Mus musculus: one gene and its partner. The protein of the gene in region 1 purifies or fractionates together with the protein of each later gene. This does not show direct contact. Links are inferred from orthologs where the notes say so. Each region holds a gene or a part of one and is shown on either strand. Other genes may lie near its edges.

Region 1 (7,140 bases):
CAGGGGAGGTACGGCAGGTAGGTTTTCTTGAAGCAGACATAGCTCTTTGTCTCTTCTCTCCTCTTTCTTTGATACTTCATGGGTACCCAAAGGATGCTCTGAAGTCACAGAAGCAAAGCAGAGAGTGCTGGGTTTTCCCCCAGAGAGTGGTTGGGAGCAGATGACAGGAAGGAAGCCATAGAAGCAGAGGCAACCCTCATCTCCTCCAGAGAGCAGAGAGCTCAAGATTGCCTTAAAAAAAATCTTGCTATGTTGTCCTGGCTAGCCTGGTACTCAAAATGTAGATCTAGCTGACCTCAAACTCGCAGCAACCCACCTGCTTCTACTCCTGAGTGCTAGGATGACAGGTACATCATCACTTCTGGGCTCATACAGTGATCCCAACGGCTAGAGCTGGTTACCTCTGCATCTCCTTTTATGATATGTATGGAGGCAGGCCAATCAAGGCCCTTATTCTCTTCTGAGCCGGTCCTCCAGCACTCACGGGTGTATGGGGAGGAGCAGTCTATGTAGGATAGAGAAGATTTGACCAAGGTCAGACCAGGATTTTCCCTGCTGTTGCATCTGGCCTGTGTGTGGGAAAGGCCTTAATGGAAGAGGATCTTGCAATCACCATCTCTGCAGCCGCATCAGCAGGGCTACATCTGGAATGGCTTTCAGGAACATTCTGTTTGACTGACTCTTTGTGTCATGGACAAGGAAGGGAGCTCACCGAAAGCACCTAAATAAGCCAGCACTCCAGCTGCTCTCTCAATCCATTGCAAGGACCAGCTCCTATCTGTAAGTTCAGAGCCACAGGACGCTCCCGCATGTTCCACTGGGGGCCACTGAAGAAGGCAGAGTCGTGGTTGGAGGTGAAGACCCGTGGCCTGGCTCCTGTTGCTTGCTGGGGCAGTTTCCTGAGACTGTAAAGTATTCCAGGGATCCTTTTCCTGTGCGGATGCAGAAGCCATGCCAGAGCTCACAGCCCACTTCCCCAGACCCACTGTCTCAGGCCTGAGAGACCCATGAGCTGGTGGAGGGTCAGGGGTTGGGCTCCGGGGGCAGCTGGGCTGCATATAGGGCCAAAGTGTGGTGCAGAAACTGGTACTGCTCGGCCGTCTGGATCATGCCTCCTCTGTAAGCAGAGTCAAGAGTCAGAGTCAAGAACACCTGCACTGTGCTAAGGTTAGCATCCTCTCTCACTGTCCTGCTAGGGAAGCCCTGACTCTCTCCTCCCCATAGGCACCCTTGCCCTTCCTACTCCCCTTTACTGTCCTCTGCCAGGACAGCCCCAAGGGAGGAAGTGACTCTTGGTCTCCTGTCTCTTATCCAGCCAGCTCTTCAGCAAAATCAGACCCATGCTCAACTCTCTCATTTGTAATCTTAAAAACGAACCGTTAGCCCCACATGTGTAGAACAGGTCTCATTTCTAAAACACTCAAGAAGTGAACCCATTTCTTCTTCCAGTTGGGGGAGTAGACTTTACCCCTCTCAATTGCCACAGGGCAGTGGTGGTGTACACCTTAAATCTCAGCACTCAGGAGGCAGAGTCAGGCTGTGAGTTTGAGGTCAGATTAGTCTACACAATGAGCTCCAGGATAGCCAGGAATACATAGACTCTGACTCAAAAAAAAAAAAAAAAAAAAAAAAAAAAGGGTGTGTGTATTGGGGGAGTGGCTACAGAATTACCGTAGCAGCTAGTAGCATATACCCCAGAGTCTGAACTGGCTTCTCCATCTTCAAGCCCAGTGAATACCACTATACCCATAGCTACTTTGTATCTAGAACAAGTTGTATCTTTTCTTTAAAAAAAAAAAAAAAAGTCAAGACGCTTGCCCTCTGTAGCCTCATTGGCCTTGAGCTAACTAAGCAGCAAGCGAAGGCTCTGACCTCACATTCCCCACCCTCGCCCCTGCTTTCTGAGTGCTGGGTTTACAAACATGCAGCATCATACTACCCTTTGTTTAACTTGTTCCCTAGCTTTCTCCTGAGTAGAGAATTTGGGGGCCAGGAGAGATTGAGGGAAAATTCAGGGTGACATATTTAATTCCAGGCCCCCACGCTAACATTTCAGACCATCTTTCATGTGGGCTTAGTTATTGGCAAACTAGAAAGTTCTTTTGAATAAAACAAGTTCCTTGCTTTCTTCCAGGAGGACCTGCAGGTGATGTGCACCTCGGAGCCACCAATGTCCTTGTCAATTACTGTGGCCGCCCACACCTGTTTCCCATGGACCCACCTGTCTAGTCGAAGTTGGCACACGATGCCCAGAATATCCACCTCCCCTCGGGCCTTCAGCTGCTGGCAGCCGATGCGGGTGGCGATGAAGCAGCCGGTCCGGCCGATCCCTGCACTGGATGGAACCAGAGAGAGGATGGGGAGGTCACAGGAGACCAGGGAATGGGGGAGACAAGTGAGCATGGAAGGTTGAGGCAAGGCTTCACGTGATGAAAGAAGAAATGGTATTAAAGTGCTCTGTTTGTGGGGTGGGACTTGCACATCTCCGATTCCAGCATCCCTGGGATCCCTGGTGGAGGCAGAAACCAGCTTACGCAGGAGAAGTCTGTAAGCCCTTATTACTCTCACTCTATGCCTAGTCCAGCTCACCATTAATTAATTAATTAATTAATTAATTAATTAATTAATTAATTAATGTTTTTAAAGATAGGATTTCACTATGGCTGTCCTGGAACTCACTATGTAGAGCAAGCTGACCTTGAACTCAGAGATCCACCTGCCTCTTCCTCTCAAGTTCTGGGATTACCCACCCCACCCCACCCCCGATAGAGTTTTACTCTAAAGTCCAGGGAAGCCTGGAACTTACTATCTATCCTAAACTCACTGTAATCTTCCTGCTTCAGCCTCCTGAGTCCTGGTTGTCCAGGACAGTCAGAGTTACAGAAGAGTGCCACCATATCAAGTCTTTTTTTTTTTTTGTTAGTTTGTTTATTTGAGACAGATTCTCTCTCTGTAGCCCTTGCTGGCCCTGGACTTATTGGGTAGACCAGGCTGGCCTCAAATTCACAGCCATCTGCTTGCCTCTGCTCCCAATTGCTGGGATTGAAGCCCAGATTTGTACTTTTTCCAGTTGTTTTTTCTTTCTTTTTCTTTTATATTTTTATTTATTTTAATCTCTCTCTCTCTCTTTCTCTCTGTGTGTGTGTGCGTGTGTGTGTGTGTGTGTGCATGCATGCACACACATCACTGTACCTATGTGAAGCTCCAGTAGAGACCTCTCATGGGTCAGTTCTGTCCTTAAACCATGTAGGGCCCAGAGATTGAACTCAGATGTCAGGCTTGACTGCGGGTGCCTTTACCCATGGAGGCACCGTGGTGACCCCTGATTTTTCTTTTCTTTTTGATAATAGGGTCTAGTCATGTAGCCAGGACTGACCTTTGATTAGCAGTCTTACTGCTTCGGCCTCAAGTGTGCTCTGCCACACCCTAGTCCAGCGCACACGGTGGTGATCACATCTGTTTACAGCACCTGCCTGTGCAATGGCTGTCCCCCAGAGCGTTCCTTCTCTGACCACAGCCTCCTCCCAGCTCCATGTGAGCTTCCACAGATGCTCCAGGGCCCCCATCCCATTATCCTCTTCTCAGCTCCATCACCTTTCTCTCTTCCCACACCCCCTCCCCTTCTTGCCCTTTCTGGCTTTCAGCTCCCCACATAAGTCTTACATGTGCCTTCAGTAGAAGGAGGTGTATACTGGGGTGTGTAGAAGCCACTAGTGACTTCCAGCACTGAAGTGTGTGCGCGCGCGCCCTCTGCATGGGTCCAAGCATGCCCTGTGTGTACTGTTTGCTTCTCCCTCCTCCTCCTCGTCCTCCTCCTCCTCCTCTCTTTCCCTCTCAACAAAACATCATATATCCCAGGCTGGCCTGGAACTCCCTATGTACTTTAGATAGGCTTTCAGCTCCTGGTACTCCCGTCTCTACCTCCCAGGTGCTGGGAATACAGGAATATGCCGCTGTGCCCGGCCCCAGGCATTGCTTTTAAATGGTAGATTTGGGGTGTTGGATTCAGCATCACAAAACCCAAAACAAAATGGCAAATCTAAGTGTCTTAGCCAATCATGCAAGTCCGATTCATGAAGCCCTTAGCTGCCTTCCATACTGTTTTCCATCAGTGTCCCTACATATAAGCACCACTCATAACAAGCTCCACCCACAAGCTCCACCCACACCAAGCCCCACCCACACAAAGCCCCCCAAAGCTCCACCCACAACAAGCTCCACCCACCCACAAGCTTGGGACTCCTCTCTGACCCTCCTGACAGTGTATCTTTTTTGTTTTGTTTTGTTTTGTTTTGTTTTAAAGTTTATTTCCTGAGCATATAAGGTTCTCTGCCTGAACGTTTTCCTTTCCCCCTTTCAGAGGCTTATTCTCTCTCAGGTATTAGGTGACCTTACCCTGTGGCCTCTATACTACTCCATCTAGCTCTCTCTGAATTGTGGTCTGCTTCATTGTTTAATCTGCTACTCTTCTGACTAGTCTATTAACCTGCCCGGGAAGAAACTAAACTGTTTTGTTCACCGTTATCGTCTTAGTATTTAACATTGTGCCTGATGATAGCAATAATAGGTTTCCAATAAGCCCGTTACAGTTCATGCCTGTAATCCCAAACTGAGATTGAGAGGTTGAGAAGCTGAGGCAGGAGGATTGCCATGAGTTTGATGCTAACCTTGGGCACAAAGAGGGATCCTGTCTCAACAACAACAACAAAAAATAAAACAAAAAACCAAACAACACAACAAACCCAGCAAAAAACAAAACCAATCCCAACACTAAAAGACCTAAGCCAACGAAAATGTTATCTGGTGCCTAAACGGGCTCCTCAACAGTGGGGACGGAGTTTATCTCATTTCTACCTCACTAGAAACTTCCCACAAGCCAGAGCTCTGTCTAGGTAAGAGTTGGGTCTGTCTGGTGTGGCGTTGGATGCCTCCACACCAGAGACTTAGTGAGCAGAGAAGGCAAGCATTGGATCTGCGCTGGGACCAGGGAAGTCCCTACCTGCAGTGAACCACTATAGGCCCGGAGTTGGCAGCTGTCTCTGGAGTCTCCACCTCGGCCACCAGGCGCAGCAGGGGCCCCGCTGATTCTGGAGTCTGGTGGTCTGGCCAGGCTGAGAAGAGGATGTGCTTCACTGAACGGCATTCCTGTTGGTGCTGGGGTGTGAGAAACCAGGAGAATAAGGCTCAAGACGTGGGATGTGGGTGTGGGTGCTGTGATCTATCGATCAATCATGCACAGTGGGATGCAGCATGCAGGGGTGAGTCTCCTGGCTACTTTGCTATTCAGCTTAGCCCAGGCTCAAGTCTTGGCTGTGCCTCTATCTATTGTGGGACTGTGGATAAGTGCAATAATCTCATTTTCTTCCCTAGAAGTGGGCACAGTGATATCTTTTTTGTTTGCCTCCCAGGATGCTTGGGGAACAACGAACTGATACAGAAATCATTTGGAAGTGTAAGAATGTGTACCTTAACAGAAAGCCCTTCCTTCCTTCCTTCCTTCCTTCCTTCCTTCCTTCCTTCCTTCCTTCCTTCCTTCCTTCCTTTCTTCCTTCTGTCCTCCCTCACTCCCTCCTTCCCTTCTCTCTCGACAGGAATCTTGCTATGTTGTTCCAGTCAGTTCTCTTCTCCCGTCATGTGAGTTCTGGAATTGAACTTAGGACAGCAGGCTTGGCAGCAAGTGCCTTTACCCACTGAGCCCTTTCTCTGTCCCCTAGAAAGCATTTTTTAAAGTCCATCTGCATATCTCATCTGACTTCTCCTGAATCTCCCAGCATTCCCCTGGGGCTCTCTAGTCTCCTGGGGCCCAGATTTCGAGCACGGGGAGAGGTTGCTTCCTGGTGGCCTCTGTTTTGTTAGTTGGTGCATCCCTATTTAATTAGAGGTACCCCTGAGGGGTGTACCCACCTCTCTCTCTCTCTTTCTCTCTCTTAGTTTTTCGAGACAAGGTTTCTCTGTGTAGCCCTGGCTGTGCCGGAACTGACTGTAGACCAGGCTAGCCCCAAGCTCAGGGATCCACCTGTCTCTACCTCTCAAGTGCTGGGATTAAAAGTGTGAACCACCTCCGGGCATGGTGACGCACGCCTTTAATCCCAGCACTCGGGAGGCAGAGGCAGGCGGATTTCTGAGTTCGAGGCCAGCCTGGTCTACAGAGTGAGTTCCAGGACAGCCAGGGCTACACAGAGAAACCCTGTCTCGAAAAACCAACCAACCAAACAAACAAACAAAAAACCAAAAACAAACCAAAAACAAACAAACAAACAAAAAAAGGAACATCATGTGAGATCAAGGTTTAAGTTAGTAAACTTGGCGAATTTAGTAAATTTAGTGAAGGTGGAGCCTGAGTTTCAGAGATACTAGGGTGGCCCAAACCTCCCATTGGTCTGTCCCAGGGGGAGGTACCTGGATGGTGAGTTGCCTCACAGTGTATTCTGGGTGCTCTTTCATGTCCTGGATGCGGATCTGGAAGGGCCCATAGGCTTCCTCTTCTGTGGGCCAGTAGTGTACACATTTCTAGAAGGGAAGGATCTGGGAGTCAGAGTGGGAGGGCCCATCATGGCACGGGGCTGAAGCAGCAGAGAGGCCTAGTTTTCTCTCCTCATATCTTACCTCAAGACCCAGGCCAGTGACCAGAGTCTAGCTCTCTCAAGCTTCAAGTGTATAGTCACCCCACCCACAGCTTCCCTGGGGTGTATTCCTGAGAGATATGGCAGAGGGCCTCTTAGGACTCTCAGCCCCCACTGAGGCCTCTGGTCTGGTGTGCATGGGTGGTGTGACCGGGTAGGGTGCAGACCCTTTCCAGATGACCCTGCCTCCTACCTCCTTGCCCTCTCGGAGCTGGGTGAGCATGACAATGAGGGATACGTCTTCTTGCCACACCATCTCCCAGAAGTCTGCTACAGTGTTGGGCATGGGGCCCTGGGTGGCAATGTAGACCTTCTCCTTCCCGTCATAGCCCTGGGGAGACAAAGCACAGAAGGACGGAGATGCTGTGACTTCTCAGTTCGCAGTGCTGGGGAAAGGCTAAACACTTACACACATTCATGCACAGACATGCACATAGAAGCCACATGCTGGAGGAGGACATGGGACCTACTATGAGGAACACCCGAGTTCAAATTCTTGCCCTTCTGTTTCCTAGCT
Region 2 (4,602 bases), on another chromosome or scaffold:
ACACAGACAGAACTGTCTCCCCACTCCATCATGCACGGTGCTCCTTCTGAGTGCTCCCTGGAGCAGCACTGCACTCTGCACACAACGAGGCAGTCCTAACTGCAGAACTGACCTTGTGCTTTATGAAGGAGTATGACTGGGGGTGGAGATGTGGCTCCATTCCTGGCAGTCCCTAACTAGGCCAAAAGTAAGCTATAAAAAACTCCTGTCCTAGTTCTGTGCTGAAATACGCCAGACCCTCTTTATCCTGAAAAGATGCTGTAAACGTAAAACCGCCAAGCACCTCAAAGCTCTGTCAGTTTGAAGGCTCTGCACTCTGTGTCTGCAGCCCATCAGGGAACATACGCATCAGAGACCCTGGCAGTGAGCTCAGAAAGCTGCTGGCAACCATCCACGAGGGTTTTATTCAGACAGGTTCTCATGTAGCCCAGGATAGCCTCAAACTACCTACACAGCTGTGAATAACTTTACAGCCTGGTTTTTTTTTGTTTGTTTGTTTGTTTTGAGACAGGGTTTCTCTATGTAGCCCTGGCTATCCTGGAACTCACTCTGTAGACCAGGCTGGTCTCGAACTCATAAATCTACCTGCCTCTGCCTCCCCAGTGCTGGAATTAAAGGCGTGCGTCACCAATGCCCGGCTTCAGTCTGTTTTTTTTTTTAACCTTAAACTTTTAATCTGATTCCCAAGTGCTGGGATCATAGGTATGTTGGAAATATGTGTGAGTCCTAGGTCCAATCTCCAGCACTGTTAAAAAATATTACATAAACGGGACTTGGTAGCACATGCTTTTAATCTCAGCACTCGGAAGGCACAGACAGATGGATCTCTGAGTTTAAGGCTAGCCTGATCTACAAAGTGAGTTCCTCTGAGTGGCTACACAGAGAAAAACCCTGGCTCAGAAAACAAACAAAACATGAATAAAATGAAAGCAAGCTCAAAGCCCACGCTAGCCTGCCCTGGACTCACTCTTCCACTCATCTATGAGAAGGTCCCTGCTTTCAAAGGACTGGTCATAAGGGTCAGCAACAGGCTCATCATCAGGGTCGTGGTACTGAGCAAAGTAGGCATGCGCAAGAGCTTGGGCTGCTGTGATCCTCTTATCTGAGTCCAAAACGAGCATCTTCTCCAGTAGGTCGACAGCTGTCACACCAGAAAAGAGGAAAACACATGACATCAGTGCCACCACTGTGCAAGTTCCAAGCACCTTTCACATCCACACAAAGCATCCTTTAAGGTGTCTGCTTCTGCATGTAACCCCTTCCCTCCATGTACGCATTGAATGCCTATGGCACATTTTAAAAACATTACTGAGGTTCTGGGTTTGAAACCCAGAATAATAAACAAACACCCCCTCCTACCCCCCAGCTCTCCTTCTCCATCCACCTTGGTTTTCATTTGTGGACACTGCAGGTGTGGCACACCACCATGGAGGCTTCCTTCCCCTCTCCTTATGCTGTGTGCACTCTCTCCCATTTCTCTCTAGTCTTTACATTTACCACCTCAATTGTTGGTAAGAGTGAAATTAGGCATACTGGGTGAGACCATGCCACAGGTGATGCTGTGACCTGGGGCACCACAGCCAGGAGCTCCATTTATGCTGAGCTAAGGTGGTTGGCATCTTGAGCTCTTCCCCGTTTCTCCCCAAGTGAATAATATGGGGAGATGGTTTGTCTCCTGGTGATTATCAGTTACTTTCAATAATGGCTTCCAGGTTTTTTCTCTCCCAAAAGTAAAACAGAAATAAACTCCACAAGTTTTTAGATTTAAGGTTTTTTTTTCTGTTTGTTTTTCGAGACAGTGTTTCCCTGTGTAGCCCTGGCTGTCTTGGAACTCACTCTGTAGACCAGGCTGGCCTCGAACTCAGAAATCCGCCTGCCTCTGCCTCCTGAGTGCTGGGACTAAAGGCGTGCGCCACCACGCCCAGCTAGATTTAAGTTTTAAGTATGTCTCCACTACAGTGCATGCCTGCTGGCTGAAAATCTAAAAGCCAGCAGAGGGCGCTGGATCCTCTGTAAGTGTAATTAAAGACAGTTGTGAGGCATCCTGTTGGTGCAGGGACTCAGACCAAGGGCCCCGTTGGCCATCTCTACAGCTCCAGATGATTTCTTCAGCGTGGAAGGCTCCATGGGTGTCGAGGAGAACTTCCTGAAGAGATGCTATACCTCTGCTCCTCTGAGTGATTATGTACCCTGTAGCCTGAACACCAGTTATCCACAGAAACGCAGGCTTTGAGGGTACAGAGGAAACAGCAAACATGCATACGCTGGCTCTCCAGTTTTAGAGTGCTGGAGGAGGGCTGGGATATAGCCAGTAAAGTTTGCAAAGTGTGCATAAGGCCTTGGATCTAAACCTAGCACTGCAGACAGTGAGCATGGTGGCACAACAGGCCACATGACTCTGTCTTCAACACTGAAGCACTGGTGGACTTCCTGGATACAAATCCTCACGTTCTACAAATCCGCTGACTTTATACTGAACATGAATGAGTGGGTGCCTGCTACCCTGGGGTAAAAAGAGGTCCACGTCCTCAGGATCAAAGCACTTAGATGAGGAACAAGGTCAGAAGTAAGAACAAGACTTTTCAAGTATGGAGGCAGACATAAATAGACACTCTAAGATCAAAGGGCAATGTGAAGTTCTCAGCTGTGTCTTGAGGCTAGCAGTGATGCGAAGCCTGTGACCGACAACAGGGCTGTTAATATTTATATCGCTGGTGTGCAGCCTGTTGGGGACGGCTAGGCTAGCAATCGGTAACAGCATGTTCCTTCTGACCAGCACTTGGCAATGGGCTGCCAGGCACGTTTGGATGTGAGCAGGCTGTGAAGAGCACCAGATGGGCCAGAGCCTCCTTTTAGTCTCCAGCAGCCTGGATTCACTCCTGTAAGGCAGCTCTTCTCAGTGTCTAAATGGGGATCTCTACCAGCTCCATCAGAGAAGACTCAGACACTGTGTACCGCACATCTGCTGGTGAGGATTCAGGGGTGGAATCAACATGGAAAGATTAGAGATCACAGAGACCCCAGACCCTTATCTGATGCAATAGCTCAAGGTAAGTTACAGAGAGCCCAGTGAGCCTGACAGGGAAGCCACAAACCTAACCCAACCTGTCAGTACCATGTACACCTCAGGCCTGAATGGTGTAGCATAGGCTGGACCCCCTCCTCCAAGAATGCACACACCTCTCCTGCTACAGGAATCATTGCCACAGCCACAGCCACTCCTCAGTATTGTGGCTATGGACAGAGTTCGTGAAAGCTTCCGCTCCCAGCTTTTGAAATCACTGCCACAGACATCAGCCCTTCAAAGGATAAGTAACTCTGGCACATGGCTTCTAGAACCCTCAGAAAGGGACATGACCCACGAAGACTTAAGTGCAGTGACTTTACAGTAACATCTGCAGGAATGGGAGAGGCAGGGGACAGCAGCCACCACCTGCTTGTTCCCTTCTCATGGCAGGAGACGGTGGTGGTCTGATGGCTCTGTATCTACTACTGCCTACTACACCAGAGAGAGGAATTAGAACCTTAGCACACTGTCCTGTGCTGACACAATCTGAGCTACCACTGTCACTTCCTCTGCCAGGTGATCCTGGAGGTAATGGAGGCAGGAAGGCAAGGAGCCAGCCACCAAATCAATGCTGCAAAGGCAGCTGCTTACACCCTGAAGGGCAGAGAGGGGAGGAAAGGGGGACGAGTCTGTGAGTGTAGAGGACATCAGGACCCACTGCTGGGCATTAACCATGTGTCTGTGCCTGTTTTCTGTCCTCAGCTGGGCTCCACCTACCACTAGCAGCTGTAAGGTTCACACCTCCTTCCTTCTCCCCCAAGTCCCCATAATTCCCTGTTCCCCATTCCTCACTTCCCTTAGCCTCTCCACCATATTCTGCAAGCATATAAGCATACAAGCCTATCACTGTATGATATTTCCTTATGTGACAATACAGACAGACAGTAACAGCTATATTTATTAAGACCCAAAAGTTACTTAAAGATAGTACTCTTTTGGGCTGGTGAGATGGCTCAGCGGGTAAGGGCTGCTCTTCCAAAGGTCCGGAGTTCAAATCCCAGCAACCACATGGTGGCTCACAACCATCTGTAGTGAGATCTGACGCCCTCTTTTGGTGTGTTTGAAGTCAGCTACAGTGAACTTATGTATAATAATAAATAAATCTTAAAAAAAAAAGGTACTCTTTTTAGTCAAAACCAAAACTTCAAATTTCTAATTTATACCACAAAATCAAAGTACGATCAACTCACCCAGGGGATTGGCACCAATAAATACATTTGCGAAGTTCATCTTCGGCATCTGGGCCAGAGACTGAATGTAGTTTCTTGCCTGTAAAAACACAGACTTTCAGAATGACTATGTTCAGTAGTGTTAGTGATCTCAGGGAATGAGCTAGGCTGAGGCCCGTATGGACCACTGTCTGGGATGCTCAATTCAGGCTTACTCTTCTTCTAGCCACTGACCCCCTCTATTTGTGACCACTGACTTTATTCTTGCGGTCTCCCCAGAGTTCTGTTTCCTGTGGATGAGAGTGATAATCAATCAGCTACTCTTTACTAGCTTTCTGGTCAAAGGGTCAGAAGCTTAAAACCAGA

What was found. Proteins that work in one complex are often made in the same cells at the same time.
Region 2: the proteins of Ptpn7 (region 1) and Mapk14 purify together in Homo sapiens (affinity purification with mass spectrometry; 3 studies listed by BioGRID and IntAct, with this or other methods). This does not show direct contact. The link is inferred for Mus musculus from reciprocal best matches to the Homo sapiens genes PTPN7 and MAPK14.

What each region holds. Positions count from the first base shown.
Region 1 is NC_000067.6:135,137,138-135,144,277, reverse strand, and holds part of Ptpn7 (tyrosine-protein phosphatase non-receptor type 7), read right to left. Parts: intron 6,955-7,140; coding exon 6,817-6,954; intron 6,511-6,816; coding exon 6,400-6,510; intron 5,155-6,399; coding exon 5,000-5,154; intron 2,336-4,999; coding exon 2,222-2,335; intron 1,118-2,221; coding exon 1,024-1,117; 3' UTR 1-1,023. UniProt on the Homo sapiens protein: Protein phosphatase that acts preferentially on tyrosine-phosphorylated MAPK1. Plays a role in the regulation of T and B-lymphocyte development and signal transduction.
Region 2 is NC_000083.6:28,741,522-28,746,123, reverse strand, and holds part of Mapk14 (mitogen-activated protein kinase 14), read right to left. Parts: intron 4,337-4,602; coding exon 4,258-4,336; intron 1,142-4,257; coding exon 968-1,141; intron 1-967. UniProt on the Homo sapiens protein: Serine/threonine kinase which acts as an essential component of the MAP kinase signal transduction pathway.